Astyanax mexicanus: one gene and its partners. The protein of the gene in region 3 interacts with the protein of the main gene of each other region in a pairwise test. Links are inferred from orthologs where the notes say so. Each region holds a gene or a part of one and is shown on either strand. Other genes may lie near its edges. The genes, in order: ncs1a, eif4enif1, dtx2 and rfx6.

Evidence for each region.
Region 1: the proteins of dtx2 (region 3) and ncs1a interact in binary tests that used the Homo sapiens proteins (3 or more experiments, as listed by UniProt). The two-hybrid records come from large-scale screens. The link is inferred for Astyanax mexicanus from reciprocal best matches to the Homo sapiens genes DTX2 and NCS1.
Region 2: the proteins of dtx2 (region 3) and eif4enif1 interact in binary tests that used the Homo sapiens proteins (3 or more experiments, as listed by UniProt). The two-hybrid records come from large-scale screens. The link is inferred for Astyanax mexicanus from reciprocal best matches to the Homo sapiens genes DTX2 and EIF4ENIF1.
Region 4: the proteins of dtx2 (region 3) and rfx6 interact in binary tests that used the Homo sapiens proteins (3 or more experiments, as listed by UniProt). The two-hybrid records come from large-scale screens. The link is inferred for Astyanax mexicanus from reciprocal best matches to the Homo sapiens genes DTX2 and RFX6.

What each region holds. Positions count from the first base shown.
Region 1 is NC_064408.1:17,896,339-17,904,295, reverse strand, and holds the start of ncs1a (neuronal calcium sensor 1a), read right to left. Parts: upstream 3,272-7,957; 5' UTR 2,759-3,271; coding exon 2,695-2,758; intron 1-2,694. UniProt on the Homo sapiens protein: Neuronal calcium sensor, regulator of G protein-coupled receptor phosphorylation in a calcium dependent manner. Directly regulates GRK1 (RHOK), but not GRK2 to GRK5. Can substitute for calmodulin. Stimulates PI4KB kinase activity.
Region 2 is NC_064412.1:16,242,955-16,250,629, forward strand, and holds the start of eif4enif1 (eukaryotic translation initiation factor 4E transporter), read right to left. Parts: upstream 3,192-7,675; 5' UTR 3,158-3,191; coding exon 3,059-3,157; intron 2,591-3,058; coding exon 2,517-2,590; intron 2,340-2,516; coding exon 2,215-2,339; intron 2,101-2,214; coding exon 1,832-2,100; intron 1-1,831. UniProt on the Homo sapiens protein: EIF4E-binding protein that regulates translation and stability of mRNAs in processing bodies (P-bodies). Plays a key role in P-bodies to coordinate the storage of translationally inactive mRNAs in the cytoplasm and prevent their degradation.
Region 3 is NC_064408.1:27,942,862-27,950,365, reverse strand, and holds the start of dtx2 (probable E3 ubiquitin-protein ligase DTX2), read right to left. Parts: upstream 3,041-7,504; 5' UTR 1,823-3,040; coding exon 1,492-1,822; intron 1-1,491. Other genes in the region: gtf2ird1 (general transcription factor II-I repeat domain-containing protein 1), read right to left, coding at 5,371-5,439, 5,924-6,039, 6,296-6,333, 7,135-7,327. UniProt on the Homo sapiens protein: Regulator of Notch signaling, a signaling pathway involved in cell-cell communications that regulates a broad spectrum of cell-fate determinations.
Region 4 is NC_064408.1:80,253,612-80,261,311, forward strand, and holds the start of rfx6 (DNA-binding protein RFX6), read left to right. Parts: upstream 1-4,432; 5' UTR 4,433-5,328; coding exon 5,329-5,527; intron 5,528-6,011; coding exon 6,012-6,165; intron 6,166-6,304; coding exon 6,305-6,428; intron 6,429-6,548; coding exon 6,549-6,610; intron 6,611-6,729; coding exon 6,730-6,807; intron 6,808-6,985; coding exon 6,986-7,013; intron 7,014-7,134; coding exon 7,135-7,242; intron 7,243-7,353; coding exon 7,354-7,431; intron 7,432-7,531; coding exon 7,532-7,645; intron 7,646-7,700. Other genes in the region: tdrd15 (tudor domain-containing protein 15), read right to left, coding at 1,585-1,607. UniProt on the Homo sapiens protein: Transcription factor required to direct islet cell differentiation during endocrine pancreas development. Specifically required for the differentiation of 4 of the 5 islet cell types and for the production of insulin.

The DNA of each region.
Region 1 (7,957 bases), about 10 Mb from region 3:
ATTAAACTCCATTTTGACATGCATGGCTATTGCCACTGTTTATTAAAGTTAAAGCCACATTGGAGGGCTTGTAGCTAAGACACCAGTCTCAAAAACTTTCCTTTCTGTATCTGTATTTATGGCATTTGGCTGATGTTCTTATCCAGAGTGACAGAATGTAGTGTTAGGAGGCTTGTCCATGGTTTTTGATAAGTAAAGTGTGTTGTACTTGCTTGCCTTGCCAGAATACAGGCTTGTTACTTCCTATGCCAGACCAATCATCTGACGCACTACAATACACTGATATAAACAAAAAAAAGTGCACAGTGTGCATATAAGTGTTTTTTTGAACTATTTCTTAATCTGTAAATGTGTCAATTACCCCTTTTATATTTGGTCACTTCATGTGCCTTTACGTATCAGAAATATATTGGAATCACTCCATGCCAACTGAAAATACAAGTATATTTTTGTATATTTAGTATCTACCGTAATTCTTTAATCTTCTATGTTAATCAAACACATGCTAGGCTCTCACTAGACTCTAAAATGTCTACAATTTTTATTAAGTTTAGACTTTTTTCTTCTTCTGCTGTTTATCAGACACTCCTTATGCTGACTTTCTGAGTTTTGCTGATTTGTTTTGTGGAAACAGTGAACAGGCCTTAACACAATCTGGTTAAAACCCTGTTCCCTGCAGAAAAGGCAATTGTCAAATCAATTGGCACATTTGCTTTATGTCCTCCAGCTGTGTACTGTTTCCACCTGTTCCATTGCTGGATCATTACCCATTATCAAGCCCTGGCAGTCTAATCTCACTTGAATCATTTAACCCAATCGAAGTGCGTCTCTCTGTGATCCACTGTGATGTTGGGCTATTGGTTTTCTCTGTCATGGAGGAGAACTGCAGCACAACACAGAGCTCAGTAGTGGAAAAGCAGCATTTTCTCAAGGAGAGATAGTCATGCCTCAAAAGAGCGAATTCAATGAAGGCATCCTTAATATGTGAAAATGTCAGAAAGGCAACCAAAGAATGGTTTCAGGCACTCTACAAACTAATGTTTATTTGGAAAAAACTAACAATCTTATTATCTTATTTTTCTGTTCTAATGTAACAAGGAAGGATGCAAGCATGCCCTGGATATGTCATTTTGTTGGCTATTATTACAATCAATTAGTAGTGTGCGCAGGCTTAAAAAACATTTAAATTATTGAACAATTCTCTTAACATTTACCTCACTTAATCTGTACTACAGGTTACTTATATTTCACCTAATTCATATTTTACTTAATCCATATCTCACTTAACATGTACCTCACTTGAACTGCACGACTCAACATACACAGCATTTAATATTTACCTCACTTGATCTGTACATGACTCATACATCAATTAATATTTATCTCACTTAACATGTACAGCACTTCACATGCACCTCACTTAATCTTTACCTTACCATACCGCACTTAACATATACCTCATTTGAACTGTACTTGACTCAACATACACATTGTTTAATATTTACCTCACTTAACATGCACATCACTGAACATATACCTCACTGAACATATACCTCATTAATCTGTACATCACTTAACGTGCACCTCCCTTAACATGCACCTCACTTAACTTATGTCTCACTTAATCTGTACCTCACTTACATTTACCTCAGTTAACCTGTACCTCACTTACCATACACCTTACTTAATATATACCTCACTTAATACACAATTTAATTAACATTTACCTCAACCTTTAGCCCACGTAACACGCACCTCATTTAAACAGTTCCTCATCTAAAATACACTGCCTGACCAAAAAAAAAGCCACTACCAAAATAAAGGTCACACACTCTAATATTTGGTTGGACCACCTTTAGCTTTGATTGCTGCACACATTCACTATGAGATTTTGATAAACTTCTGCATTGTCACAAGATCTCAATGCAGTGTTGAATTAATTTTTCACCAAGTTCTTGCATTGATGATGGTAGAGTCTGACCGTGTAAAAATGATGATCTCATGCTCCCTTAAGCACTCGTTCACAATTCCAGCCCCATAAATTCTGACATTGTCATCTTGGAATATGCTCGTGCCATCAGGGAAGAACAAATCCATTGATGGAATAACCTGCTCTATATTCAGTATATTCAGGTAGTCAGCTGGCCTTATTCTTTCAGCACATACTGTTGCTGAACCTAGACCTGACCAACTGCAGCAACAACCCCACATCATTTACTTACTTACATCCAGGTGGAGACTTTTTGGCCTGGCAGTGTAAATCTCACCTAACCTATGCATCACTTAAAACATACCTCACTTAAAATACACATAATTACCTCATTTAAGCTAGACTTCATTTAACAGAGAATTTGCAGTAACCTCATTTAACATAGACCTCACTTAATATGTACTTTACTCAACATAAAATGTAATTAACATTTACCTCAGTTAATCTGTAGCCCACTTAACATACACCTCACTTAACCAATACCTCAATTAACATGTTACACGTTACTTCGTCATCAGATTTACACAATAAAATAAATTGAAATGCATTCAGAATATATAGAAATACAGAGCATGACCCATAACAAGCCAATTGACTGTAAGTATGTAAGTGTGTGTGTGTGTGTGTGTGTGTGTGTGTGTGTGTGTGTGTGTGTGTGTGTGTGTGTGTGACTTCTTGCCCATGCGTGCCAGGGCAGTACTCACAGTAGGTCTTTCTGGTCAGCTCCTCCACCACCTCAGGCTTGAGTTTGCTGTTGGATTTGCCCATCTCTCCTCCCGGTTCTCCCCGAATGTGTCCCCCGCCCCCACTGCCACTCTTTTCCCGCTCACATTTAGCGCGGAAAACGAAAAAGAGAAGGAAAAAAAGGAGTGAAAACAGCGAAAGGAAGAAGGACTGAGAGAGAAATGCGGGGTTAAACGCGGTTCTCTTCCCCCAGGCTGGAGGAAAAGAGAGCGGGAAAGCCCGTAATCTCTCCGCTCCTGTCCCTTATTTCCCTTCGCCTCTCCTCAAGTCCTCCAGCAGCGGCGGAGTCACAGCCCGAGCCCGCGGAACGCGCTCCTGTCCGGGGGTCCTGCCCGCTGGAGCCGGGGAAACCTCGGTCCGCTGTGAGGCCAAACACTGGCTGAGCAAAGGGGTCTGTGTGTGCGAGGGAGAATGTGTGTGTGTGTGTGTGTGTGTGTGTGTGTGTGTGTGTGTGTGTGAATGAAAGAGAGACAGAGCGTGTGTGTGTGGGAGGGTGCTGGTGGGTATGACTGAACGCCACGCGTTGTGTTGGCACCGTCGTCCCTGACAACACAGACCCCGCCCTCGCTCGTTAAGCCGCGCCCCCTTTCTCTGACCATAATTTTACATTTTAAAATAATAGTATATACATCTCTGGAAAAAATTAAGAGACCACTTCTCAGTGGTCAGAGAAGAAGTGATTCAGTTTCTGAATCAGTTTCTCTGTGGGTAAAATGAACGTTAGTGTTTTATTCTATAAACTACAGACAACATTTCTCTCAAATTCCCCCCAAAAATATTGTCATTTAGAGCATTCATTTGCAGAAAATGAGAAATGGCTGAAAAAAACAAAAAAGATGCAGAGATTTCAGACCTCAAATAATGCAAAGAAAAACAAGTTCATATTCATAAAGTAAAAAGTTCAGAAATCAATATCAGTATTTGGTGGAATAACCCTGTTTTTTAATCACAGTTTTCATGCATCTTGGTATGTTCTCCTTCATCAGTCTTTTGGATAACTTCATGCCACTCCTGGTGCAGAAATTCAAGCAGTTCAGCTTGGTTTGATGGCTTGTGATCATCCATCTTTCTCTTGATTGTATTTTCAGGTAAAATAAAAAAAACTCATCCTTTTTAAGTGTCTTATTTTTTTTCAGAGCTGTATACTATTAATAATACAACTAAAACAAGTTTAACATTAAAACAATCTCTAAAATGTATTAATATGAGGTAAACATGAATTGAACTTGTGGTCATTTAAATTCCTCAAGTAAAGATTAAAACTTAAAAAAATCTGTTACAAAACAACGATAATAAAAAAGAAAGCCTGACCTGCTCAAGGCTGACCACCTTTGCTCTGACCACAGATTTATTTATTTTTATAGTGCTGCACTGTGTTTATGTCTATCTCTCCTGTGCGTGTTAACTGAATCAGCAAAGCCCTGCCACTTAAGTCAAATTTTTTGGTCGACTAAGTATGAAGAGAGTGTTTTATTTGTCACTTTCTTACTGTGTTTGTCCACACTAATGATTTTCAGGATGTTGTATACAATTTCCAATTAAAATGCGGAAGACTTCTGTGACATGTGGGACCTCTGCATAGCCAGGCTGAACACACTGGTTGATGAGCATTAACAAGGTATTTGCATGACCAACATGAGAAGACCAGAATGACAAGACCACATTGGTAGGCCATAATTAACCAATATAACCAGCTTGACTACTACGTTGGTTGACTGGTTGGTTGGTTGACTCTTAATTAGAACTGTCATCATGATAACATGTTTGTTATCCAGCAGGACCAGAGCTGAACACACTGGTCAATTAGTATGACCACTGGTTGACATGCATTACCAAGGAAGTTGCATGATCATGACCATCATGATTACGCTGATTGACAAGCATGACCGGCCTGATCATGCTGGTTTACCAATATGATCAGCAAGAACATACTGGTCCACCAGCATGAACATCCTGACGTAGCCTGATCACACTGTTTGATGAGCACTTATCGGTGAGGGTTACATATATTGTTGGCAATGACCAGTGTTAAAAGTGGGCAGCTACCCAGTTCCTATAGCAAATTGGCTTTTTGTGTTAAAAGTTGGGACTTGTAAACTCTGTAAACATACTCTAGAAAATCTTAATTATATTTCAATCAGTGACCAGTCTCATCATTTATAAAACATATCTGCCAGTATGTACCAGTACCACTTCCTTTAAGCATGACTGCATTCATATTTCAACTGTCTGTTTACCTCTTAGATAATCCTGTGAAATTTGTGGGGTCTACACTAGAAAACAAAATTGGATCATTTTGTTTCCCATGGGATGCAATAGAGAGAAAAAAGACAGAGATGCATAGAGATAGAAGGATAGATAAGCAGAAAGGAAAAAGACAGAGATGGACAGACAAAAAGCATACGATAGTCACTGAAAGAAAGACTAAGGCAGACAGAGACTTTGCTTACAAAAGGGAGATGCTTTAAAAAAGGGGCAGAAAAAGTGAAGCAGTGATGGATAGTGCTGAGTTAGCGCCATGCTGCCCCAGAAGCAGCCTGCAGTCTTTTGCCAGCAGCATCACCTGCTGTGTCACTCCATACCCCCCACCCCCACTCCCCCCATTCCCTAAGAGAACACACCATATTGAGTTGGCAGACTATGGCTACCCTAGATTAGAATAGATCTTGCTCAGGCCACTTTAAAAGTAGGCTGCATCTCCTGATATGTCCCCTTTTCCCTCCAATGGAAGTTTTTTCCTTTTACCCTATCATCCAATCGCCTCTACAGCATGCCCCGAATGTGTCACTGAAAACTTCATAAAGGTCACACTGACAGGACATTGGTAATAATAAGTCATAAGCAGACATAACAATACAATATAATTTGACATCCTTTAGTACAATACTCCTGGAAAACAATATCTAAAAGGCCTTTAGGTTTTGAACAAACATTGGACATTAAAATATTCTCTTCTGTATAATATGTTGCTAAGACATTCTTCCCATTACTTTATTTTTTGTTGGCGGTTAAGAAACAGAACATCTATTCCTAACAAGCAAATGGCAATTTGTTACTGTTGGTAAATATAGACTGTCCACTAAACCTGTTACCAAAAATGGTTTCTTAAAGGATCATTAATGGACTGTTACTATTCATAAATTACACTTACTATAAAAAATGGAGTGTTGCATTCTGGCAGAGACATTGCCATGAAACCCTTGCTGTGTGTGGGTGAGCATTATCCTTCTAAAAAATGTCAGTTGGAAGCCCTACCATGAGAGACAACACATGTGACCACAAGATTCAAAGCACATATCACTGAGCTGTTAGTGTCCCTCATATCACTAGTTGGGGGTGACTGACTGTCATATGCAATGGCTCCCAAGATCATCACACCAGCAGTTGGGGCAATGTGTCACTCCACAGCATTTAGAGAATTGAACACTTGAACCCCTCCTCTCTTAAATTTCCAGAAGGAAATATGGACTTATCACTAAAGATTATATATTTCCATTCTGTAGCTGTCTGGGTTTTTGTTTCTTGATAAAAAAAAAACTACAAATTATGCTGACAATGGTTGACTGATGGACAGTCTGAATGGGGGCAATTAGTCGAAATGACTATCATGCTTCTCTCAGTCCAATGACATGCCCCTTTCTGTTAATGGGCAAAAGGTCAAAAAAAGAGGCATGTCTAGCCTTGTTGTGCACGAGACATTACTGAATGCAGAGATTTGCAGCAATCCATGTTGTGTTATTTTTTGTAAGTGAGCGTACCTGTTACCCCTGGTAACAGGTAATAAAAATCCTAGAGAAAGTTTTCATTGCTTTTTCCAAATATAATACTGCATAACAGCATAAACACATCCTCTGTGACTCAATGCCATATCTACATAAATGACACTTTTTTAGTAGGTTCCAATTGCCTCTAGTATCCAGCATGTCCAGCAGCTGATTTGACACAAATAGTGTGTCAGTGAGACCTTCCCTGCTTGCAGGTTACTCACTTTTGACATTTGCATAATCACAGAATTTTTTTCAGCTTTATAACATTTCTCACATTCAGCAATTACTCACCACTGGTGACAGCAAAACACTTATTACCAGCAGCGAAAAACAAATGAAAGAACAAATGAGTCACTGCATTTACCTGTTTAATTATGAGAGTTGAGTACATGGATGTTACATACTGTGAACTTCAAACACTGTTGTGTTGTTCATTAAAAAAACTAGCATGGCTAATACTAAGTTGTTACCAAGTACAACACCTAACAACTGGCTCCTGGGAGTTCATAAATAAGCCAAAAAAATAAGAGCAAATCATTTTTAGGAACCCATCGTGAGGGAAAATCAGCATGTTTTATTTTGAGGCAAAATAACAAGATTGTAAATAGGCTTGTTCAACTGTATCTTGGCAACTGTATCTCTTTGACTCAAAGCACATAACATTTCTACAATATGTAGACGAAGTCATTGGGATACTTCTTACAAAACCAAGCCTTTAAGAGTTTTAAAAGTTTATCATGTATATTATCCTGCTTTCTGGGAAGACTTTCTACTAGAATTTGGAGCAATGATGTGAATAATGAACAATAAATGCTATGAAGTCAGAAGAATCCTAAATAAAGAGTGTGACTACGCCACATCATCACCAACTCATCCCAAAAATACTACATAGAGCACCATCATTCCATAGATCACTATAAGTGTTTTACTATCTATAGTCCTATAGTAACTGGACAAGCTGTGTATGTGCCCATTTGCACATTTGTGTCTCAGTGGTTGCAGTTTAAAATAACTGCATGTATTCATTAGAATGAATGTCCACAAACAATTGGAAATGCTGTATACATCAAAAGACATCAACATTAAAATATTGAAATATATATATTTAATAGTAAAGTGCTATGTGGCATTTGCATCCCTCTCTTGTCTCGCTTTTTCTTGTTGACATTCAGAGATAGTCTGTTGTCCTTGCATCAGCTCTCTCACCTCTTCTCTCTAGGCTGTCTGATCATTGCTGAAGCGCTACAGCTGTTACATTATCAGCAAATTTCCTGATTTGATTGCTGTGATCTGCACGCAGTCATGGGTGAGGCAGTGTTACAACAGAGAATAGAAACACAGCCCAGGGGAGCTGCAGTGTTTAGGGTGATGGGACAGGACAGCCTGTTCTGGATGCTGACTGTCTGAGGTGTCTTTCTTAGAAAGCAGCCCGTTGCAGAAGGCTGAGCTCAGGAGT
Region 2 (7,675 bases), on a different chromosome or scaffold from region 3:
CTGTTTTTGGGCTGATTGAATGAGCGAAATATAATCAGAATTATGTTAATTAACACTAACATAAAAGCATAGAACTATTATTTAATTTAAATGTTTTTTAAGAACAGCTACACACAATGCTGAAAGTCAAACGCGGAGGCGTTCACGTGCGCCCAGAGCTACGTGATTACATTTTTCATTATTATTATAGTTTAATTTTATTTTGTTTTTATTTTTTCTGTTCAGTAAGTTTTTAGGGTGGGCTTGCTAGCGAGAGCGCTTTACACAAGAACTAAAGGACCACGAGGTGCCGCGCGCTCGGCACAACACCGCCCGCTGTACAACTCCGCTGTACAACAGCGCTTATAAATAAATTAAACACGAAAATGAGGGTATTCTATCTGTAATTTCAGTTCGTTTTAGTTAGTTTTATAAACACAAAATACAGTTCGAGATAGTTATGTTTTTTCCTTTTAATTACCTTTTTATTAGATTCAGTTAACACAAATGTTTTTTTCACTTTCAGTTTTCGCCATTTCGTTCGCTGTAGTGAACAATAATAATTGGTTACTTAGCAACATTGTGATTATCACATCAGAGCTTTATATAAAATAAAAAATAGGAGCCAATAGGAGCTTTCTCTAAAAGAGAAAGCAGCAGCACCACAAAAACCGGAGCAGCTAAAAAGAGTTTAACGTCCTTAATTCGGAACTTGGGCTGTCCAAGGCAATCACTGAATTAATTAGAGCACGCAAATTGTCACAATTGTGCCTCACTTCACCACGCCAAACCACAGGCACAGCGGCCAGAAGCTCAAGTTCACCGGACAGAGGAGGGGTTAACCAGGGCAAAGCGAAGTAAAAAAAAAGTGTGGCTAAAGTAACGTGCAGTAACGGGGTGTCGGAAATGGTAACGGCGTTATAGTTACAGTCAGAGTAATTAGTTAGATTACTCGTTACTGAAAAAAAGTAACGGCGTTAGTTTTAGCGCCGTTACTCCCAACACTGCTAAGGAGTGGCTTTCGCCTGGCCACTCTGCCATACAGGCCTGATTGGTAGATTGCTGCAGAGATGGTTGTCCTTCTGCAAGGTTCCCCTCTCTCCACAGAGGAATGCTGGAGCTCTGACAGAGTGACCATCGGGTTCTTGGTCACATCCCTGACCAAGGCCCTTCTCCCCCGATCACTCAATTTAGACGGCCGGCCAGCTCTAGGAAGGAGTCCTGGTGGTTCCAAACTTCTTCCATTTACGAATGATGGAGACCACTTTGCTCATTGGGACCTTCAAAGCAGCAGAAATGTTTCTGTATCCTTCCCCAGATTTGTGCCTCGAGACAATTTTGTCGCAGAGGTCTACAGACAATTCCTTTGACTTCATGCTTGGTGTTTGCGCTCTGACATGCAGTCAACTGTGTGACCTTATATAGACAGGTGTGTGCCTTTCCAAATCATGTCCAATCAACTGGATTTACCACAGGTGGACTCCATTTAAGCTGTAGAAACATCTCAAGGATGATCAGTGGAAACAATGCACCTGAGCTCAATTTTGAGCTTCATGGCGAAGGCTGTGAATACTTACGTAAATGTGATAAATTTTTCATAAATCTCAAGAAAACTTTTTTACATGGCCATAATGGGGTATTTTTGTAGATTTTTGAATTAAGAGATTAATATAAAACAATTTGGAATAAGGCTGCAACATAACAAAATGTGAAAAAAGTGAAGCGCTGTGAATACTTTCCAGATGCACTGTATAAGCAGCCACCCACAATCTTTGCACTAAAATTAGCCACTTGTTACTTTAAAACGCCTAGTCACTGAAAAAGCCTTAGTACTTGAAACTAAATTTAATACCCTAAATCTCTTGTCCTTAAAGTCTCGTTCCCTCTCTCGTTCCTTGTCCACCCGCGAGTCCCTCTCAAACCCACGTGTCGCCATAATGCGGCCACTTCCAATACGTCGTGTACCACCCAAACGGAGTGACTCGTTCTCCTTGTTCTCCAGAGGGCTGACAGGACGCCGGACCAAAGAGGTAGGTGCCACTTGGCAGCCACCTCCAAAACTACGGCGCTGTGGACTAAGAACCACCTCCAAATCATCCTCTTTTAAACGCTCCCTTGGGTCTAGAAGGAAAGATTCATATAAAACATAAGTTTAACATTAAAGTTTATCCTTAAAGAAATGTCATTAATATTCAGATTAGTAAGAGTGCAGCAGTCCCATAGTGGAAAAATTACCTGCAATTCTGCGTTTCAAAGACACCCTATCTTCAGCAAAGTCTCTCTTGTATCCATCTACTGGGGAGTTTCGCTCTGACGGGTACAGTGAAGCATGCCACTTTTCAGGATCCCACACACCATCGCTATAGAATTAAACAACAAATTAGTACTTTAGATTAGCCACTCATTTCAGAATAATCTGGAAACTAAGCATTGTATACACAGGAATCAAAGAAACACTAAATAAGTTGATTAATAGATTTTAATGTGTGAAAATATAACTAAATTCCTCACTGTACCAAGATCACATAAAAGATTACCTGTCATATTTCTCCGATAGACACTCTGGTCTTTCGTTAGAGATTGGTAACTCTTTGATTTCCAACAGCTCTTCCTGTTAAAAAAAATGATAAAATAAATCTTATTTAGGAATTAATAATAGTTTTATAATAATATTTAATAATAGTTTTAGTAATAGTAATAATTTTTCAAAAATAAATGTTACAATATTATTTATTATACAACATGTATTGCAATAATGTTCCAATAGCTGACCCCTAGTTACATAATAAATACCAGCATTTTAGACTATTAGACTCTTAAACTTGCATTACTTATGTAACAGAATACATGTTGCATGTATAACTGGACAAAACTAGGGCTGCACAATAAAAAAACTTGTGCATCTCTTTTTCAATAACAGCTCTATTTCTATCAGAGAGCATCATTTATTATGGTGAAAATTCCTAAATTCCTGGAAGACACATATTGCAACAGAAAAAAAAGTTATATTTTTCCCCCCACCAAATATTGTGCAGCCCTAGACACAACTGGAGATTAAGCAGCATACTATAATCCTGACCTTGGTGTATCGGTAGGCAGAGGTTACTACAGAATCCTTCACTGTGTGCCCAGTGATATTGCCATTTTCCTGATCCTCTATACAGGCATCTTTCTCCATGACTGAAGCAAGAAGCCAAACCAGAGTATAGCTTCTTTAGACAGTCCAAACACCTACTAAAAAACAATGGGCATTAGTCAGTTATGACAAAGAGGAGAGAAAGAAAATCTTAAACAAGATATAATTTAGAAACGGCAGCTACCACCAAATCTGATCACCATACGGGTACAGTTAGTATCTTCATTAAACAAAAGAGAACTGGAACAGTGACGTGTGAACAGCGGGTCTACGCGAAACTGAGGTAGCCAATAATGTTCCTAATAATGCGAATGTGGTTTTCTGAGTTTAAAGTATTGAGTACCAGTGTTAAATACTTTATTAGGGTCACAGATAAAAATGTTTCAGAATTACAATTAAGTTACTTTCCTGTGAAGGCCAGGCCAGAATAATGTAGTTAGCTAACTATAACACTTAATTAGCTGGCGTTAGCTAATCAATAGCTTGTGCGTAACTGTCAAATACTTATACAATATAACGTTATTGCGACTAAAATCTCTTCTGTATATGTATTCACGTTAAAAGGTTGCTACATAAAATATATAGCGTTAAATAAATCGACACAAGCACCTGTGTTTCACCGTCCAGAAATCAGCTAGTAGCTAGCCATCAACAATTAGCTAACATATATTAAAACGAGCAAATGTACCAGGTTAGTTAGCTTGGATTTGACACCAAACAGAAACAAAGAATATTTCACTAGTTTATTGACTTTTACTCGAGTTATTCAACTTACCTGTACTTAGAAAAATATACCCAGGCTTCTCCCTTCCTCCTCGGATGCTACAGTTAGCTAGCTAGCTAGCGTTAGCTAGCTAACTAGCTAGCTAACTAAGCTATCTATCTAACTTTTAAACGGGCTGTCGAGCTAGCTGGATTGTTTTAGGCAATTAGACGGGTTGTATCTTCAGTTAGCTGGTTAATATAAACGATAAGAGAAACATAAAATGTTTCTTTTACGATACCGGGCTATCTAGGTTTAGCGTTAGAAAACAGCGTTTAGCAGCCTAGCGCTGCGTTAGTAGCTACAGGAGCTCCCAGCCAAGTTGGCTAAACGCTCAACAAATGGACACCGTCAGTTAGCTAGCGTTCCAAGTATCCAAGTATCGACACAGTATTAAAGTATTAACCTGTCCTTCTAGCACATAACTGCCTGCATAGCTAACATTAGTTGAAACAGCTACAACCTAACTAGGCTAGCTAAGTTATCTTTCTCAATAGCTTTCCCGGTTTGGTATCTTTGCTCGGAAGCTTTCGAAAAAAAACAGCACAAAGCTAGTGGGCTAATCCAGCTAATATGCTAGCTAACTTCGCTAAATGATTTTCCACTCACTGCTCAACAAAAAACGACTTAAAGCGCTTAAAAAAACACAGACAGTCCGCGGCGGTTTCTCTCAGAATAATGAGTTAAAAGCCGCGGAACAGACTAACCGCGACTCCGATAAGCTCTGTGTAGTTTATAGCTGATAAACTCTCACACGCATACATACACACTCTGTGTGTGTCGGGGCTCCCGACGTTCAGCGGCGAATTTCTCCAGATCACTACAGGCTCTGATTGAAGCCCCAATCAAGGATTATATAGTGACCACTGCCGCCTTCGTTACAATAGAAAATACACACACATCTTGTTTTTGAATATTTTTTTATTAATTGAAGTCAATTAAACACTTTTATATATTAGATATAACTTTACCTCGCAATAATTGGTAAGTGCAGCCCCAGAGTGGGACATCTAATATTTGTCAGGCAATAGACTGGCCTCCTATTTTTAATCAGCGCTCCTCTTTTTGTAGAGTTCTTTATTTTTATTTCTGACAACAACAACAGTAATAATAATAATAATAATAATAATAATAATAATAATAATAATAATAATAATAATAATAATAATAATAACAACAATAACATTATTATGTTGCTATATTAATATTATTGTTTGTAGTAGTAGTATTATTATTAACATAATAATTAAAACAAAAAAAACTATGACGTCCATAAGTGACATATACTGAACATCCTGAGAGCATCACTACAGGACAGCGTGTGTTAATGTGTGATCATGTGACTTTATTTACAGACTGTAGAAGTGTTGGGTTAGTTCTGGAGATAAAACTCACTCCCTGTAAAAGTGTTAGTGTTTTTAGCTTCAGCAGCGTTGTTCCAACAATTTAACCTTTTAAAATATTGAATAAAATGTTTTATATTCCATATAATTATTTATGGCACGACATATACGACAAAATATTAAAATACAGGTAATTAAATTTTAGTTGTGCCATTTAGGTCACATATGGGTTTCAACCTTAAAATATTTATAGTCAAATGATCTCTTTTTATCATAGTAAAAAAAAAACCGAGTGGGCTGCTTAATTTACTTATCATTGTTTTATATTATATTTATAAAAAATAGAACTAAGGTTAATTTTATTGGAGTAATATAGATTTATAACGTATTGAAATAAGCTCAGCAGCGCTTTTACTTTGAAATCCACCAGCGGAAGTTGTTTCTACGCGGCAGTTACAGTTTGTTGTTGATGAGTAACTCAGAGGTGAGAATGGGTGTCTGTTAGTTCTGTATACAAAATAGTTATCAAATATATAAGTAAACTACACACAGTTATTTACATCCGATTTACGCTGTAATTTAAATGCGAAATCTTCACAAATCGCTCAGCTGCAGTTGTACAGTGGTTGTAGGACAAGGTAGGTTAGTTAACCTAGTTAAGGTAACAGTTAACTAGCTAGCTAACTAGTCAACTGCTGTAACCTATAGAACATGACTGTATATAACAAAGTTTATGATTTCTTGTTGTTAAAGCTGAAAGAATGTAATTCATGTCAAATGAGTGAATAAGGACACTTTAGGAGCGTTGAGTTTTGATATATTACTTAAATATGGTTATATTGTAATTAATATTGTTTAGGATCTTTGTGTTTTTCTTTTTAAAACCAGGGATTATGCACACAACAGGACAACAATCTGGGAAACCAGGTTCTTTTGGGAAGAAGCAGAGGCAGCACACTTCCATCAGAAAGATCACATACCGGGTGGGATACACATGGAATAGAGGTGGACGACTTAAAGAGCTCAGGATACGGTTAGACACCACTCATAAACCCCTACATGCAACCAAACTTGTGTTTTACAAGTACTAAATGCAAGTAAAAAACAGAAAAAAATATATGTTCACATTTATGTTATTGTAACACTATTCCATTTTCTTTTAATATACATTTTATAAAACACATGCATAATTATTTTGTAAACAAAAGTGTTAATAAAAAACAGAATAGTTTTTATACTTAAGATTTTTTAAGTACCACGTTCAGATTTGATTGCAGATTTGCACACTATAAGCATATAGTATGTATATTCTCAGTGTCTTCGTGAGGGAGAGTCACCTGGAATAGTTTTCTCAGTGTTTTGAAGAAGTTCTTGGAGGTGCTAAACAATAGTTGCTGCTTTTCCTTCACGCTGTGAAGCTCCAGCTCATCCAAAATCACCATCTCAGTTGATGAGGTTTTGATCATGGGATTGTGGAGGACAAACTCTATTATTTACTACTTAATTCTATTTGTGTTCCTTAATAGTGTCCATGTCTTTAATATTGATCTAAAACATTGAATGAGAATGTGTGCTTACATACCGATATAATTATTTGTATTTTTATAGATGAGTGATCGGCTATGGTAAACTAATAATTCTTTATGCTTTTTATTTAGACACCTTGCACGAAAGTTTCTTCGCCTCTGGATCCAGAAGACATTTGGAAGAGTCACTACATCACAAGCCAGGTTCAGTACTTTATGCTGCACTATTGTGAAAGCTGCACAACTGATTATATAATTATATTGTGACTAGGGCTGGCCCGAATAGCGTTTTTTGAGCTCCGGATATTCGGCACTGATTCAAAGCGAATATTCGAATATTCGTTTTTAAAAAAGAGGTAAAAAAAATAAAATAAAAAAAAAGCAAATCACGGCCCCTTTAATCCACTGAAAAATGTTCAATTTGCTCTGACCGACGAGACATATTCACCCCGGATTTTTGGTGTTTTTATCCCGGATTTTTGTGTTTTCACCCCATATTTTTTCTGTGTTTTTAGCCCAGATTTCTTTGTGTTTTCATCCCGGAATTTCTGCTGCCCCACACCGCGGCTTATCCGCTGCGTAAGCAGGCTAGGAGGCTGCTGCTGCACGGTTTCTCCGCTGCGCAAGCCAGCCCAGTAAATTGCTGTTTGTGTTTTCACACTTAGGCTATTTGCTTAAAAAAACAAACAAAAAAAACGTTTGTTCAGGAAGTATTTTATATTCTTAAACATTGTTAATTATATTAGAGGACAGTCATTGTAAACTGTACTTGGTCTATTTCGGTTAAAGGATTGTGCAGGGCATATTACTGATTTTGTATTTTTGCACTTGGGCTATAAGCTCAATATTAAATATTTCGTTTGTTTAGAAATTATTTTATATTTTTAAACCATGTTAAATTATATTAGAGTAGAGGAAAGTCATTGTT
Region 3 (7,504 bases):
TATCACAAATAAACTAAATAAGATTAAGCATTAGACATTTATTTAAGTGAATGGAAATTACAACACACTCCCTAATTTAACTGAGTTGAAGTAATGGTATCGTTTGAAAATACCTAACAATAACCTCAGCTGAGATTGAACTTTACATTACATTTCAATGCATTAGCATTTTTTATGTTTAAAAACTTGACACTTAGCAACATATAATTTGCTCATTATTACTTTAAATAGACTAAATTGGACTAATTTTACTAGACAATAACAATTGTCACCTGCCATACATGCTGCATCCAATAAACAAACTTGAAACAAACTTCTTAAGTCTTGAGAGAGTTATGAAGCACTACTTATAGATTTTTGTTAAACATTCAGTGGTGTACAAGAAACAGTGATGAGCCAACAGATAAATGTATCAACCCTGTTAGTCAGCAAATTCTTGATGGCAGTGGAAACAATATGGATAAAAGACAAGGAAAAATGTAACCGTTACTAATAGTCTATGTTACAGTGTTTAATGAACAGCATAGTCTTTTGCATGATGTATGTGTGATTATATGAGGTAGTGGTTAACACACTCCCCACAAGGGTAAATAACTAAAATGTGCAGAACAGCGGTCCCATGACCAAGCCTGAGAACCATCATCAATAATGATTTTAAGCCCTTTAACCTTCATCTTACCACAACTTTAATATTGATTTTGTTATACAGCTCTGGAAAGAAATTAAGAGACCACTTCATTTTCTGAATAAGTTTCTCAGTTTGCTATTTATAGGTATATGTTTGAGTAAAATGAACATTGTTGTTTTATTCTATAAACTACGGACAATATTTCTCCCAAATTCCAAATAAAAATATTGTCATTTAGAGCATTTATTTGCAGACATGGGACATGAGACATGGCTGAAATAACAAAAAAAGATACCTCAAACAATGCAAAGAAACCAGTTTTAAGAGTTCAAAAATCTATATTTGATGGAATTTATTTTTTTTATTTGCAGTTTGATGCATCTTGGTATGTTCTCCTAGACCTGTCTTACACACTGCTTTTGGATAACCTTATGCCACTGGTGCAAAAATACAAGCAGTTCAGCTTGGTTTGATGGCTTGTGATCATCCATCTTCCTCTTGATTATATTTCAGAGGTTTTCAATTTGGTAAAATCAAAGAACTTGTCATTTTAAGTGGTCTCTTATTTGTCCAGAGCTGTAGTTTGCAAGACAGGGGAAAAATAGTCTTTAGCCACCCAACACCTGATCCAACAAGTGAGCTTAGTAGAAACCTATTATTGAGTTAAACGTGGCTTGTTAAAGCCGATGAACCAGTGAACCAGTAAAATAAACAGGGCAGTGGGTCTCAAGGACCAGTGGTAAAGAAACACTGCTTTAGACGTTCTCCAAAGTCTTAGAGTTGGGGACCACTAGTTTAAATTAACAAACATGACAACACAAACACACAGAACCACATTGTATGTTTGCGAGCTCCTGACTTACCAGTGTCTTGCCGAAACTGTTTTAGGCTCGGGATGTCGATGATATAGGCTGCCAGGCTGGGGTCGGTCTGGCCTAGGGAGATGCTAGTGGCGGCGGGCCCACCTGCCCTGGCCCCCCGCTGCTGCTGAAGGCATTGCTCGATGTAGCAGCTCACCTGGCCACTGTAAGGCCGCCAATAACCTAGGTCGTCCTGCCATTCCCACACCACCACCATGGGCTGCGCCTGGCCGGGTATACCAGAGGCCGAGGCGGTGGAGGAGGAGGAGAAGAGCGACGGCCCGTTCCTGGAGCCATTCACGCCGGAGGCAGAAAAGCCAGAAGCCGTGGCCATCCTAGTTAGTTAGTTAGTTAGTTAGCTAACCTGGCTTGCTAGGAGGACCTCGGCGTACTTATTTATTTAGTTAACTTAATAGCTAGGTTAGCTGAAACACACACACATACACAAATGGTGGTGTCACTTGCTAGCTAGATAACTAACCCCAGCGACAGCGAGCTAGCCTAAACTGCACTAGGGTAACCTAGCTAGCCAGCTAACTAACTAAGCTAAGCTACATAGACTGCTGCCTCTGAGCTAACTAGCTAGGTTAGCTAGTTAGTTAACTGAAAACACACACACAAATGTTAGTGTCACTTGCTAGCTAATCCCTGCGATAGCAAGCTAGCATAAACTACAGCTAAGCAGTACATTGACTAACTGTTAAACTAGGTTAACTAACTAATTACATAAACTGCTGCTGCTGTTGGTTAGGTAGCTAGTAAATACTTGTCAACCAAACGTATTAAGTCTCTCCATAGGGGCTGACTGGCGTACAAGCTAAGCTAACTAGCTAGCTAGCTACCAAGTTCGACGAATTGAACTGATAACCTAGCTACCGCTAACTGCCTAACTAAAACCGGGCTCGTTCGTCCGGTTGCTAAGCAAAACCAACAACTAGCTTAGCGAGCTACAAACAAATAACTTAAATTAACCCTAGCTATTTAACTTAAGCTGAAACGAGTCGTGCGAGTCTGCATCTTCATCCGCCAGCTGATAGCTAGCTACTTAGCTAGCATAGCTATCTGTCTAGCTTCGGCTGTCTAGCTTACAGCTCGTTACTACGGCTCCGATGTTGTGAAGCTAACGCTAAGCCATTTTTAAAGCTCCAGGAGGCCGAACAGCGAATAAACGGTTAAAACTAAGCTAAGCCAGGATGCAGTAAAACAAACCACGTCCTTGTCTCTGGTAGTGTCGTCTTTATCGTCTTCTAAAACGCCTTAATTCTTCCACTGAACGAAGCCCCCCTCTCACCCATCCGGCTGCTCGCCCTGCCGTCTCTGTGCAGAGTCCAGCGACCAAACACAACAAACCAACGGAAACCAAAACCACCAGCCAACCGCAGGGTCCCCTCCACTGCTCTCATCACAGAAAACGACACAGTAAACTGGATGGAATTCAGCTTAACCCGTAAAACAGTTACCTGTTACTACGTGTCCAGTATTTGTTTGATGCATTGAGCTATTTAGTGTAAAGCTGTATGAATGAGTATAAATGTATGAGTCCGTTATTTGAGCTTTGAAAAATATTGTAGCTAAGAAAGTAGAGCGTTAATACAATTAAGAGTCAGTTTGTTTATATAATATTTTTAAAGGCACTCATGTTCAGCTTCTATTAAAGCTATAAATAAATCAAGATTAAATAAATGTATCAAAATATCTATTAATAACAAAAACTATCAGATTTTTACATTTTGGTTTCTCAATTCAAACGCTGCAAGACTTTTATTTTGAAACATTATCCTGACAGTTTTTGTGTCTGACAAAAAAATACTCATCACATTTGCATTTATTAAATGTAAAATAAATTAAATCGAATCAAATAATGGTCCTACAAATCTAGAAACAGTGTTATTTAAAAAAGAAAAAAAAATCCAACATATAGCTATATAACTTATGTTAACTTTATCTCAGATGTACAGCAGCTTGGAGTGTTTTGCTACCAAGTCTGTTTTCTAGATGACAGATAATTCTACAGATAGATGATAAACATTTGTAAACTATATCTTTTTTTATGTCTTTTTAGCTGAAGTAGTCTCTAGTTTGATACAGTACTTTGTGTAGAGAATGTACAGAATGTTCTTTCATGTGTTTCTTAGTCTTAACCAGCAGGTGGAGACAGATGAATGATTTTAATGGACAGGATGCAAATACAAATGCATGAGTATATCTGCAGTTTACCATAATCCTTAAAATGACCTTAAATTAAAGTAAATATTTTAAGCACTGAGAGGCAAAAACAAATCTGTTAAATAAATAAAGCGTAGCTTGTATTATACCATCGAACCATGAAAGCACTACAACACTCAAAAGTAATGAACGCAAGGCAACACATTTTATTTGAAAGGCCTAAATGGCATTAAGGTACAGCATATAAATACTGGTAATTCCAGAGACAGTCCTTACAGAATAACATTATACCATTCTTTCCTTTACATACAATACATTCATGATGTTGTCTCCATCAAATTTTATCTTACTTGTCCTCCACGTTCTATGAACGTCGGAGCGACTTACACCACTACAATAATGATAAAGTCTTTCATTGGAATATAAGTTAGTGCTATTGTGTTAGGATGCTCCACTGTAGGACCATGAACCCCTGAAGCGAAAAGAAGAAGAAGAAGAAGAAGAAAAAAAATAAAATAAAAAACGGAATATATCAGTAGCTAACTGTTTTAGTGTTATCAGTCATGGCATTCAGCACTTGATGCATTGTGCCGATTTGTTTACATTCCCTGCATATACATGTTTCTTTACTTTTATTTAAATAAATAAATAAATAATAATACAAACATTTAGCTAGGCATAAGAACCAGTTACTACGAGAGTAGTACGCATGTGTACGTCCTCAGCACCAGTCGAGGTTTTGCATCCTATGGATAATGAATCTTGTCTGGGAATAATGTTTCCCAACAGAATCCATCACTTGTGTCCTCAGTGTGGGTGTCAGTCAACCATTATTGTTTCAAAGGCCTTTAAAAAGAAGGCAACCCTACACTGGCAGTCACTTTGAATAGCTCAAATGAGCTTGATAATGGTTTTTGATGTGTTTCCATGTGTTTCAGGGGATCTATCACTTCTCTCACTTAAAGTAATACTTAAACAAAAAATCTCCTTTACAACTGATCTGAATCTTGTTAAACCACAAAATGCTTGGTAGCCCAGTTGTGCTTCTTTAGTTTAGAACTGGAACTATGAGGTTTACATTGCTAACCTAAAACAGGGAAAATCAATATTCACCCACAATTTTCCAATAAAAATGCACGCTCACACACGTCGCTCAACCCCACATATAAATGGAATTTCCTGCCAGCAAGTTATTCACCTTATTCAAGCGTTAAAACGATATGTTCCTCATATATAGAAATGTTTTAGAATTTCTTTTTTCCAGATTTTTTAAATGTGTTGTAACAGACAAATATTATAAGCTCTTATGTGTAACTGAGCATTTGCTTATGACTGCCAGTGTATGATGCAAAGCATTGTTCACCAAACATAAAAAAATAAAATAAAAATAAAACAAAATGAAAACACTCCTTTTACAAGCAGCCTCTCCAGAAAAATAAAGCACTGACAAACTGGGAAGTAACGATTCCAGGTTACTGCACAGCAAATTCACGTCTCAGCACTTGCCGTCCTGAAACTGTAATGAGAAACTCCTTGTACTGTTTGTCGTCACGCTCAAAGAGTTTGTGATTGCCAGCATACACAAAGGTCCCCCGTCACACTGCGAGATCAACCACAGCACTCCAAAAACAGCTGATTTTTATAACGGATATCAGTCTGACCACGTCCTCCCCGCAGGATTCCTCTTCCTCTTCTGAGGGGCTTTGAGGTGGTCCACTAGTATTTTACCTTTCCTGGAACTTGGACATTCACTCCGCTGTAGTCCACCATGTACATGGGCCATTGCTACAGGAAGAGAACAACAGAGTATCAGACACTTAAACAAAAATCTAACTAGTTTCATATAATTAATGAATAAATAAATCCATATACATCAACATTTTATGTTAAACATTTTATTTAGAGGGCTGAAATTAGCCAGCACAATGATCTTACCTGTGCCATTGTACTCAAGCCAAGCTTACTTGTTAATTCTGTCCATATACAGAAGTAGCTAGCTGCTTTGCAATAAATAGCACTAAATGCTATGCATATTTTTGATCCAATCATGTAGTTTCACCTATAAGGTGTTATACTGATTGTGTGGAACTACAGGTACAATAATAATAATAATATAAAAAATAAAATGTTACTGATACTTAGAGCATGTAACTCTTTGAAGGAAGGTGATGGAGAAAATCTGGTGGGTGAACTACTAACATCACTGACTTATAATGTAGAATTAAATATTCTGGTACAAGCAGGGCTGTTTACTGGCTGTTTTCCATACCATCACTGGAATCTGGTTGGCTGGAGCAGCAGGGTCGGCTCCTGAGGGAGCGGTCGCTTGACTGCTTTCCAGGACCCGCTTGCGTTTACGTCTATTGACTGACACTTCCTTCCCTTCTGCAGGAAAATGAGCAAAATAACATAGCATGAATTTAAAGTTTTGTGCAATGGTTTGTTGATTTTTGAAGTGAAAACAAAAAGGATAGAGATATAAATAGGATCTATAGAGAATCTGTTAAGTGAACAATTACATTTGTAAAGAAAAATAATAATTACATGCAATTTGACTAGGTGCATCCAAAAACAAACAAGGCTGTATACAGGAGGGATTCCAATATTTGATAAATAATCAAATCAAGTAAGGTAAACCTACCTGTATTGCTGGTCTGGGGACAAAGCTGTACAAAAGGCCTAAACAGAAAAAAGTTTTTTTTTAGATGTATGAAATGTATCAAATGTACTACACACATGCTTTCACCTAAACAAGACATTAAAGCAGCTTAGTCCAATAAGTACTGTATAGTGTAGTAGCAAAAACAGATGATTTTCCCAAATGTTTGGCAACTGTTTAAAATGAACGACAAAAACATAATTAAGGACACCTTTCAATACACTTTTAATAATAATAAAAAAAAAAACAATCAATAAAAAACAAATATAACCATTGTTGATAAAGTTATTCCTTTAATTTATTTTTTAGAAATTAACCTATTCATAAAACATAATATGTAGAGTATTTCTGTTCAAACTACTGGCCAAACCAAAACCAATTGAATTAAATGTAAATGTAGTTGTTTTTATGTTATATTTGTATATTTATTGTTTTTATACAAAGTGATCATGATCATATGGCAAAACATTAGTATGAAACTTTATAGCAGTGTGGAGGACTTGTTACCCAACCCAGTCCCTTCTAGCTGTCTCTCAGTCAGAAGTCTGAATTAGGGACGATATCATTATGATATAATTATTTTAATATTAACTGTATAAATAATAAATTTTTTGGTATATTGCATCTTTACATACAAACACTGAAAAACTACATATTGCACTATGAAGATCACATGAAATGCAGCACATTTAGAATAAAAATCTTAAATTGAATTGTGCATCAGAATTTTTTTTGTATGGATCATGATATAATATTGCTATTGCCCACATAATCCTTGCTTCTAAACATTATCCAAATAGCTTAAACAATTGCTGACTTACTGTAATGGGGTTTTGATATTGATGGTGATGTCATCTCGAGCCTGAAGGATCTTCTCTAATCGAACTATGTCATAGGTGTTGGGGTTCCTGAAGTGGATATCATCTGGAAGTCCACAAACCTCCAGTGATTCCGGACTGGCCCGAATCAGCTTGTATGGAACAACAACAGATCGATCCAGGCCTAGAGCTTCTCCTGAATACAAGATGATGGAAGTAATGGAATAAATGGGACAGGAACTTGCAACTTTCTGATGAAAAGGCCAATGCTTAGACAGTTGCATCATACTAGAGGTCATAATAAAGATTAGGGGTACACTGGGCACTTCACAATATGTTGCCCACGATAACGATGATATCACAATACTGTGCG
Region 4 (7,700 bases), about 52 Mb from region 3:
TACATGTATTTGTATTTTTGTACCTACTGGCTGGACTACTGCAACGCGTTGTTGGCTGGAAGTCCACATAAATTACTCCATAAACTCCAGCTAGTTCAGAATGCAGCCGCAAGAGTGCTTACCAGAGCTAGAAAGTTCGATCACATTACACCTATTCTTTCATCCCTACATTGGCTACCTGTTAGATTTCGTATAGATTATAAAATACTTCTCCTGACGTATAAATCCCTCAATGGTCTGGCCCCGCATTATCTACAGGAACTCCTTACTCCTTACAATCCGCCACGTTCACTCCGCTCCCAAGACGCTGGCCTGTTATTTGTCCCGCGTATTAGAAAAAACTATGCAGGAGGAAGAGCGTTCTTTTATAAAGCTCCCCAACTTTGGAATAGCCTCCCTATTAATATACGGGACTCAGACACACTCTCAATCTTTAAATCTAGACTCAAAACATTTCTATTTGCTCAAGCTTTTGAGTAATGTCTCATTACAATTTTCTTCCTCTTAAAGCTTATCCAGCAAATATAAACCCTGTCCTAATCATCTGCTTTCTCTTTCTCTCCCCATGTCCTGAGCTGCTGCTACCAGTGCCCATCCCACTCCAGCAGAGTTTTCTAAAACCATTCTAACCCCTTTTTCTTCCCTCCCCTCTCTGTTCTCTCTCTCTATCTTTCTCACATGTGCTGAGACGCCTGGCCGGCCGGTCTTCCTGGATGTGTCCGTCTGTGGTTCCAGCTTTCAGGAATCAGCCCTGTCCTTCTACTCATCAGAATTATTTCACAACCCTTCTAACTTCTGCTTTTTTTTCTCTTCCTTTCCTTTCTGTTTTCTCTATCTATCTCTTTTACATGTATGGAGATGCCCTGTTCCTGATGTTCCCAGCCTGGCTCTCCACTGCCTGCTGTGTTGTTCTCCGGCTCTGCAACCCTGCACTTATTACCATTAACACACTCAGTATCTGTTTCTGTATTAGCCATAGCTCTATAGTTTGTGCCCATCACATTCTTATATTCATAAATTAGTACCTGTTATATTAGCCATAGTTCACATTAATTCTCTGTACTGTTTTTGTTCTGTTATTTGTTTGTTGTTTGTTTGTACTGAGCGGGTCAACCCGAGTAGGATGGGTTCCTCGGACTGAGTCTTGGTTCCTTCCAAGGTTTCTTCCTCTTAAAGGGAGTTTTTCCTTGCCACTGTGTCACCATAAAATTGGCATCTCTGTGGTGCTGCTCATAAGAGGCGTGGACCTGTTTTTCCAGTAAAGCGGCTTTGTGACAACCTTTGTTGTAAAAAGCGCTATATAAATAAAATTGAATTGAATTGAATTGTCTTTGCACCCTGTTTTTGGCACTGCATCCTTGTACATCTTACCTATGCTGCACTAAAGACTAACAGTATTTTGTTGTACTGTACAAGCCTGTATTAGTACAATGACAAAGTTTAAAAAAAACAGTATGTTGTTGCCTTTTTAGCTTTATTTGGTGTAACAAATACAATAACCGTGCATATCTAAATAAGATTTTTTTGAACATTGACTCTACATTTGTGAACAGCAATGGAGTTCATGCAAAATCAAACGCTCACCTGTCCACTTGTTTCCAGTCCATCTCAACGCCATTTACATGCAAAGTCCTAATGAACCTCCTTGCAATTGACCAAACATCTGCACACACAAATATGGCTGTCACTGAAAAGCGAAGTGACATTACAGAAACCATGCCAAAATAAAAAGCAAATGATCGGCTAAAATATTATCTAAATGCTGATTGCATATTTCAGTAAAAGATGGCCAATACCCATAGACAACTGAATGTTGCACACTCTAGTCACATGAATTGACCAGGTCAAAATCAGTCTACACCAGTTAAAAACATGGAAAAATAACTGTTGGAATTAGACAGAGGAGATGGAAAATTGAGTGTTTTGACACTGAAACATATATGGACAAGCAGCTTAGTATTTGAGAGACTGACCATGTTTTCTACAGTTATATTTCGATGTAACATTTTAGGGCCATGAACTGAAAAAAAAATGAACCGCGAATTTTCTGTACCGTTACACCCCCTAGCTATTATGTGATCAATCGTGGATTTTTTTATTAATGCCAGTTTTAAAAAAAAGTTCTGGACAAATGGGACGACTGACCATAGACCACATAGCTAGGTTCATGGATCGGATTGAATTTGCAGCGTGTGGATCGCCAGCACTGTCAGCGATCTGATTAAGTGTTACTTCACATTTTAAGCAAATTGCAAGGCATTATAACCACGTTCCACCTAAATATATAATTATATGTACTTAACTATAGGCAATTAACAACAGAACAGCATTTCAGCTAATTTACCCGACGTTACCTAAGCAGCTAACGCTAGTTGTCCTAGCTAGGTTACTCAAGGTAACTGCCCTGCTAACCTGCCTCGTTTCTACAGACAAAGATTTCACTGGCTTGGTAACTAACCCAGCTAGTGTTACTACTTTTGGTCACCATAGTTTTTTAACGAATGCTAGATATAAAATCTATTTGCCTTATGTTAATCACCTGCATTGTTTATCGCCGTAGGAATTAACTAATCGATTTCTAGCTGTGCGCTTAACGTTACATTTCTGCCTTCTCTCTCCCTCTTTTTCTTCCTCTGAGTGAACATACTTAGCGTTACATGGCTTCTAATTAGTATTACCACCTTAAATTTCCGTCTATGACTGATTGTACCATTTAAGATGGAAGAGGAATTTTAGCTAGCTTGCTGTTGCTACATGGGTGGCTTCTTATTAACATTTCCACCTTAAATTTCCGCCTATTTACCATTTAAGGTGGACCCAGAAATGTAGTGAGGCCTATAAGGATGAACTATTTAAGGTGGAACTGAAACTATAGGTACCTAATTAGCTTTACGTTGCTAAATAAGAGGCAATTTTCTGAGGGAACAAACAGACAAATACTAACGGTGGTTTAATGTTTCATGTAGCTAGAGTAGTGTTAGTAACGTTGTTGGCTAGCAACAGTTGTGGCTTTTTTTGCTAGCTAACTAACTTAACTAACCTAACTTACTTATCCTACACAGCTAGCGTTAGCTCGGTTAACTTAGTTAGCTAACTAACTTAGCTAAGCAACCTCTAGAAAACTCACTGAAGTTCGCCAGCTATTAACTAGTAATACTACGTATGTTTGGCTTTAAGGTAACTTTTAAAGCACTCACAAGAACAGCTCAACTTTATTTGATGCATTTTTATACACTTCATGCTTTTTAACGCTGATTTCGTTTACCTTTAGTGTGAACGCGGATTTCTCCCTGCGTGTACACTGCAGCTCACTCCCCCTGAATGCGGCTGTAACGGTGCTGCGCGAGGACCACAAGGATGGCGCGAAAAAAGGGCAGTGTGCGGTGAAGTGTGATGAAGTAACGTTAACATAAATATCATATTTATAATACACGTTTTTAACAGTTTAACAGAAGCTCAATAATTGAAAATACTAAAAAAAAAAAGCTAAAAAAAAAACCTGAACTCCAACATTTACATTTGTGCCACTTTCAGGAGCACTAAAATGTATTAAACTGCTATTTTGGAAATATGGTTTGTTTTTCTATGTGAAAATCACTTAAACTAATAGATACTGGCAAGACTGTTAATAATGAACACCTTATGCCAGATAACCAGACATGTATAAAATACTAGACACATAGACTTGAGTGAAAGTACAAGAGCTCTGTCAAAAAAGTGTCTTGAGTAGAACTTAAGTGGTTGTACTAAAGAATTCAAGATTTTGGTACTTAAGTATTGCACTGGATCAACAGATTTACTATTTACAGTAATTGGAAAGTAAAATTATTTATTTTCTTACAAAGCACACTTATATTGTTAGAAGACAATGCGTTTGACATGTAGGATTAATTAAAAAAGCTTAATTAAAAATGCAAAGGATTGTTGGTTTAAAACTTGTATTGGCTAAGCTTCACTGTTGGGTCCCTGAGCAAGGTCCTTAACCCTTACTGCTACCTGGGTGCCCACGTGAAAGCTGCCCATTGACTTGCTGTGTGCATTCAATGCAAGGATGAATTTAAGGCAAAGGTAAGCATGATTGACTTCATCTGGAAAAAAAAATGAAAAGCAGCAGAAGCACACACGTAGGACAGGTCCTGTTAGTCTGTAACAGATTATTGTGTTAATATTTTGTGCACTGTCCTGCTAAATCTGCTCTATTCAGATTAGCATTTAGAGTACAGTTTATAGTTGAAGTGTGCCAAATGCAAGTAGCTAGTAAAAAAAAAAAAAAAAAAAAAAAAAATATATATATATATATATATATATATATATATATATATATATATATATATATATATATATATATATATATATATATAGGAATGTCTTCCTATGTACTGGATCTACTATAATTAAAAATAAAGTGGATTGTTTGCATTTTTAAATCCTTATAATGTAAAATAAAAAAGCAAACAGGACATCTCCTCGACTATTTATAACCCCATCCCCACGCCATATTCATTAACGGAAAAAGGCCATCATAGCAACATTAATGACAACATGTAATTTGAGTGGTGGGCCATTCTCAGCAAAACAATGATATCAACATGGCTTGGTAAAGTCATTCTCTTACCCTGTTTAGTAGTCTGTTTCTAATCACATATGATCTTTTTTGGTGGACTCTCAAGCTAGTGGTGACCCTTAAATGCAAAAAAAAAAAAAAAAAAACAGTAGAAGGGGATAAAATCAGTAACCACAAACATACAAAGTGCATCTATATGGTAAAAACTTTCAGATGAAAAAAAAAAAATAGTGCTAAGGATATAAGGATGTGCATGATCTTGCTGCCCTAGCCCTGCTGAAAGCAGGCACTGCAGAATGAAGGCTCTGGATGGGGCTATAGTCCAGTGGAAAGGCCACAGAACAGGTTTGATGGAGACGATGGCCCCTCGGGTTAATCATTAATACACAGAATCTACTGCCAGTCTTCTGTAAATAAGATAAATGCCCCCAAGGCACTCACCTCAGTGACGTACTATTTCAGACACAGCACAGCTTTAATTAAGACAGGAAGGTGTAACGTATTCCAGCGGCTTGATGTTTGGATGTGGACAAAATGATTCTTTCTAAATTTCAGTTTGAATATTAGTGTAAAGGATGTTTGTGTACACTGTTTCATTTTGGTGTTAGTGATTTTTTTTCTCCAGAACCTGAGATGTGCACCATTACAGTACTGGACCAATGCATCAAACTGGAGTCTCTTTTTTAAAGTGTTTATTGAAAATATCTGGAACGGAGGAAGACTGAGTGTGTCCACAGCTCATCTTTTTGAATGAACCTGGTAACATGCCAATGAAAAGGAATAGTGGAAGTTCTGTGGAGAATAACATGTTTCATCAGCTTCAGCCACCACAGCCAAAGAGGACTTACAGTAATGCTGATGATTTCCACCCAGCAAACTCCAGTGAGCAGCAAGACCTTAGAAAAAACATGTTTTTCAAAGAAACGTTTGAGGAAGAGGAGGAGGATTCAGGAATTAAATCAGGTTAGTATTATCTTTTTCATATTTTTAGATTGGTCAGGATTAGAGCTTTAATCGGATCACATATTAGAGGCATGTTTATTTGTCTAACAGCACCGTCCATACACAGTGGAATAGATCTTATTTTGTCAGTTATAAATATATAGAAAGTTTTTTTTCGACAGTTCATATGATATACATAATTGTGCCACAGTAAAATATTTTTTTTATGGTATTATATTTTATGGTGGATGATGGTAAATTAATAAATGTCTAATGCTGGAATTTGTTATGTTTGTAAATCTCAGGTACAATGTTTATAAAACAAGAGTTTATAAAAATGGCATTTAATGCATATTAAGCTATTTTTCCATAAAGACAGCAGTAAGGAAAGTTGTTTATGATAAAATAATTATTACATTTTCAAAGCAGTATTTTAAAAAATGGCATTGATTAACCAGACCATTGAAAGTATAGTGCAATCTTTGTTTATTCATTTATTTGACAGAGGCAGAGGAAAGCAATGGAACCATATCCTCTGAAGATGACTTAGACCACCTTGAATACTCAAAGAACATTGCTCTGAAGCAAAGTGTCGAAAAGAAAAGCATCAGTCAAATCATCAAAGACAAGAAGAAACAGACCCAACTAACATTATTGTGGTACTTATTTCATTATCCTTATCCAGTTACACCAAGTTAGTTTTATCAAGCAATACTCAATAATATTACATTGACTTTACCTCAATTTCCATAAACAACTTATGCCCTATTTTGTACTTTTTACATTTTCATGAATTAGGCTTGAGGAAAACTATATAGTTTGTGAAGGTGTGTGCTTGCCTCGCTGTATCCTCTACGCTCATTACCTGGACTTCTGTCGGAAGGAGAAGCTAGATCCTGCTTGTGCCGCCACTTTCGGCAAAGTAAGCAGTGTTCCTTCAAATAGTAGAAAAATGATTTTAAGATTTTGTACACTGCAAAAAACAAAAGAAAATTTACATTTATTATTATTTACTGATTGTTTACTTTCTTTATTACTGTAGACTATACGGCAGAAATTTCCACTACTTACAACCCGGAGGCTCGGCACCAGAGGCCATTCAAAGTAAGACAAAGACAGATCACAGAGAGTGAGAGTGATACAAAAATGACTTTTTAATTAATTTGCCAGATCACCAGTTTTAGTCATGAACAGTGTTTAAATGTATTTTTTTATTGTTCCAGGTATCACTACTACGGTATAGGGATTAAGGAGAGCAGCTCCTATTATCATTCAGTTTATTCAGGAAAAGGTCTTACCAGGTAATTTTAAAGCTTCAACCAACAATGCATTTCTGCTTGTTTTTGCTCAGATCAGGAGATTCTAGGATTTAGAATTTTAAATATGTAAATTAATGCTTTATAGAAAAGTATAATGTACTTTTAAAAAAATGTAATAATTGCTATTTTTACTTAATGACTCTTTTATGCATTGTAACAGATTCTCTGGGAGCAAGCTCAAAAATGAGGTTGGCATTTTTAATAGTTGATGTTATGTTTATTGTTACTTAAATATAATGAGGAATTAAATATGAAATATTGTTATTTCTGTTAGTTCCTCAAAACATGTCTTCTTTTGCTAAATCACAGGGGGGCTTCACACGGAAATATTCACTTAGCTCTAAAACAGGAACATTACTACCAGAATTTCCAAGTGCACAGCATTTAGTACTTGATGACTCTGTTTCAAAGGAAAAGGTTTGTTTGCTGTTGTTCTAATGAATAAAATAGTTTATTTGATGTGTTCATCCTGTATATTTGCCGTTTTAATTAAGTGCTACTTTCTTTGTTGATGCGTTTCTTGTTTAGGTGGACACTTTGATAATGATGTACAAAACCCACTGTCAGTGCATTCTCGACAATGCTATCAGTGTCAACTTTGAAGAGGTACGCTAAAATTTTAACACCTACAGAAACAGTTAACTTGAACTTACTGTAAACAAAATATTTTTAAAAGCTTAAAATTTTATTATTAAATATATTACAGATCCAGAACTTCTTGCTTCATTTTTGGCAAGGCATGCCTGATCATCTCCTGCCTCTGTTGGAGAACCCAGTAATCGTGGACATCTTTTGCGTGTGTGACTCCATACTTTACAAGGTGCGTGTAATATGTTTGTGTGTTGGGACACAGCCGTGAAATAATATTTACTCAT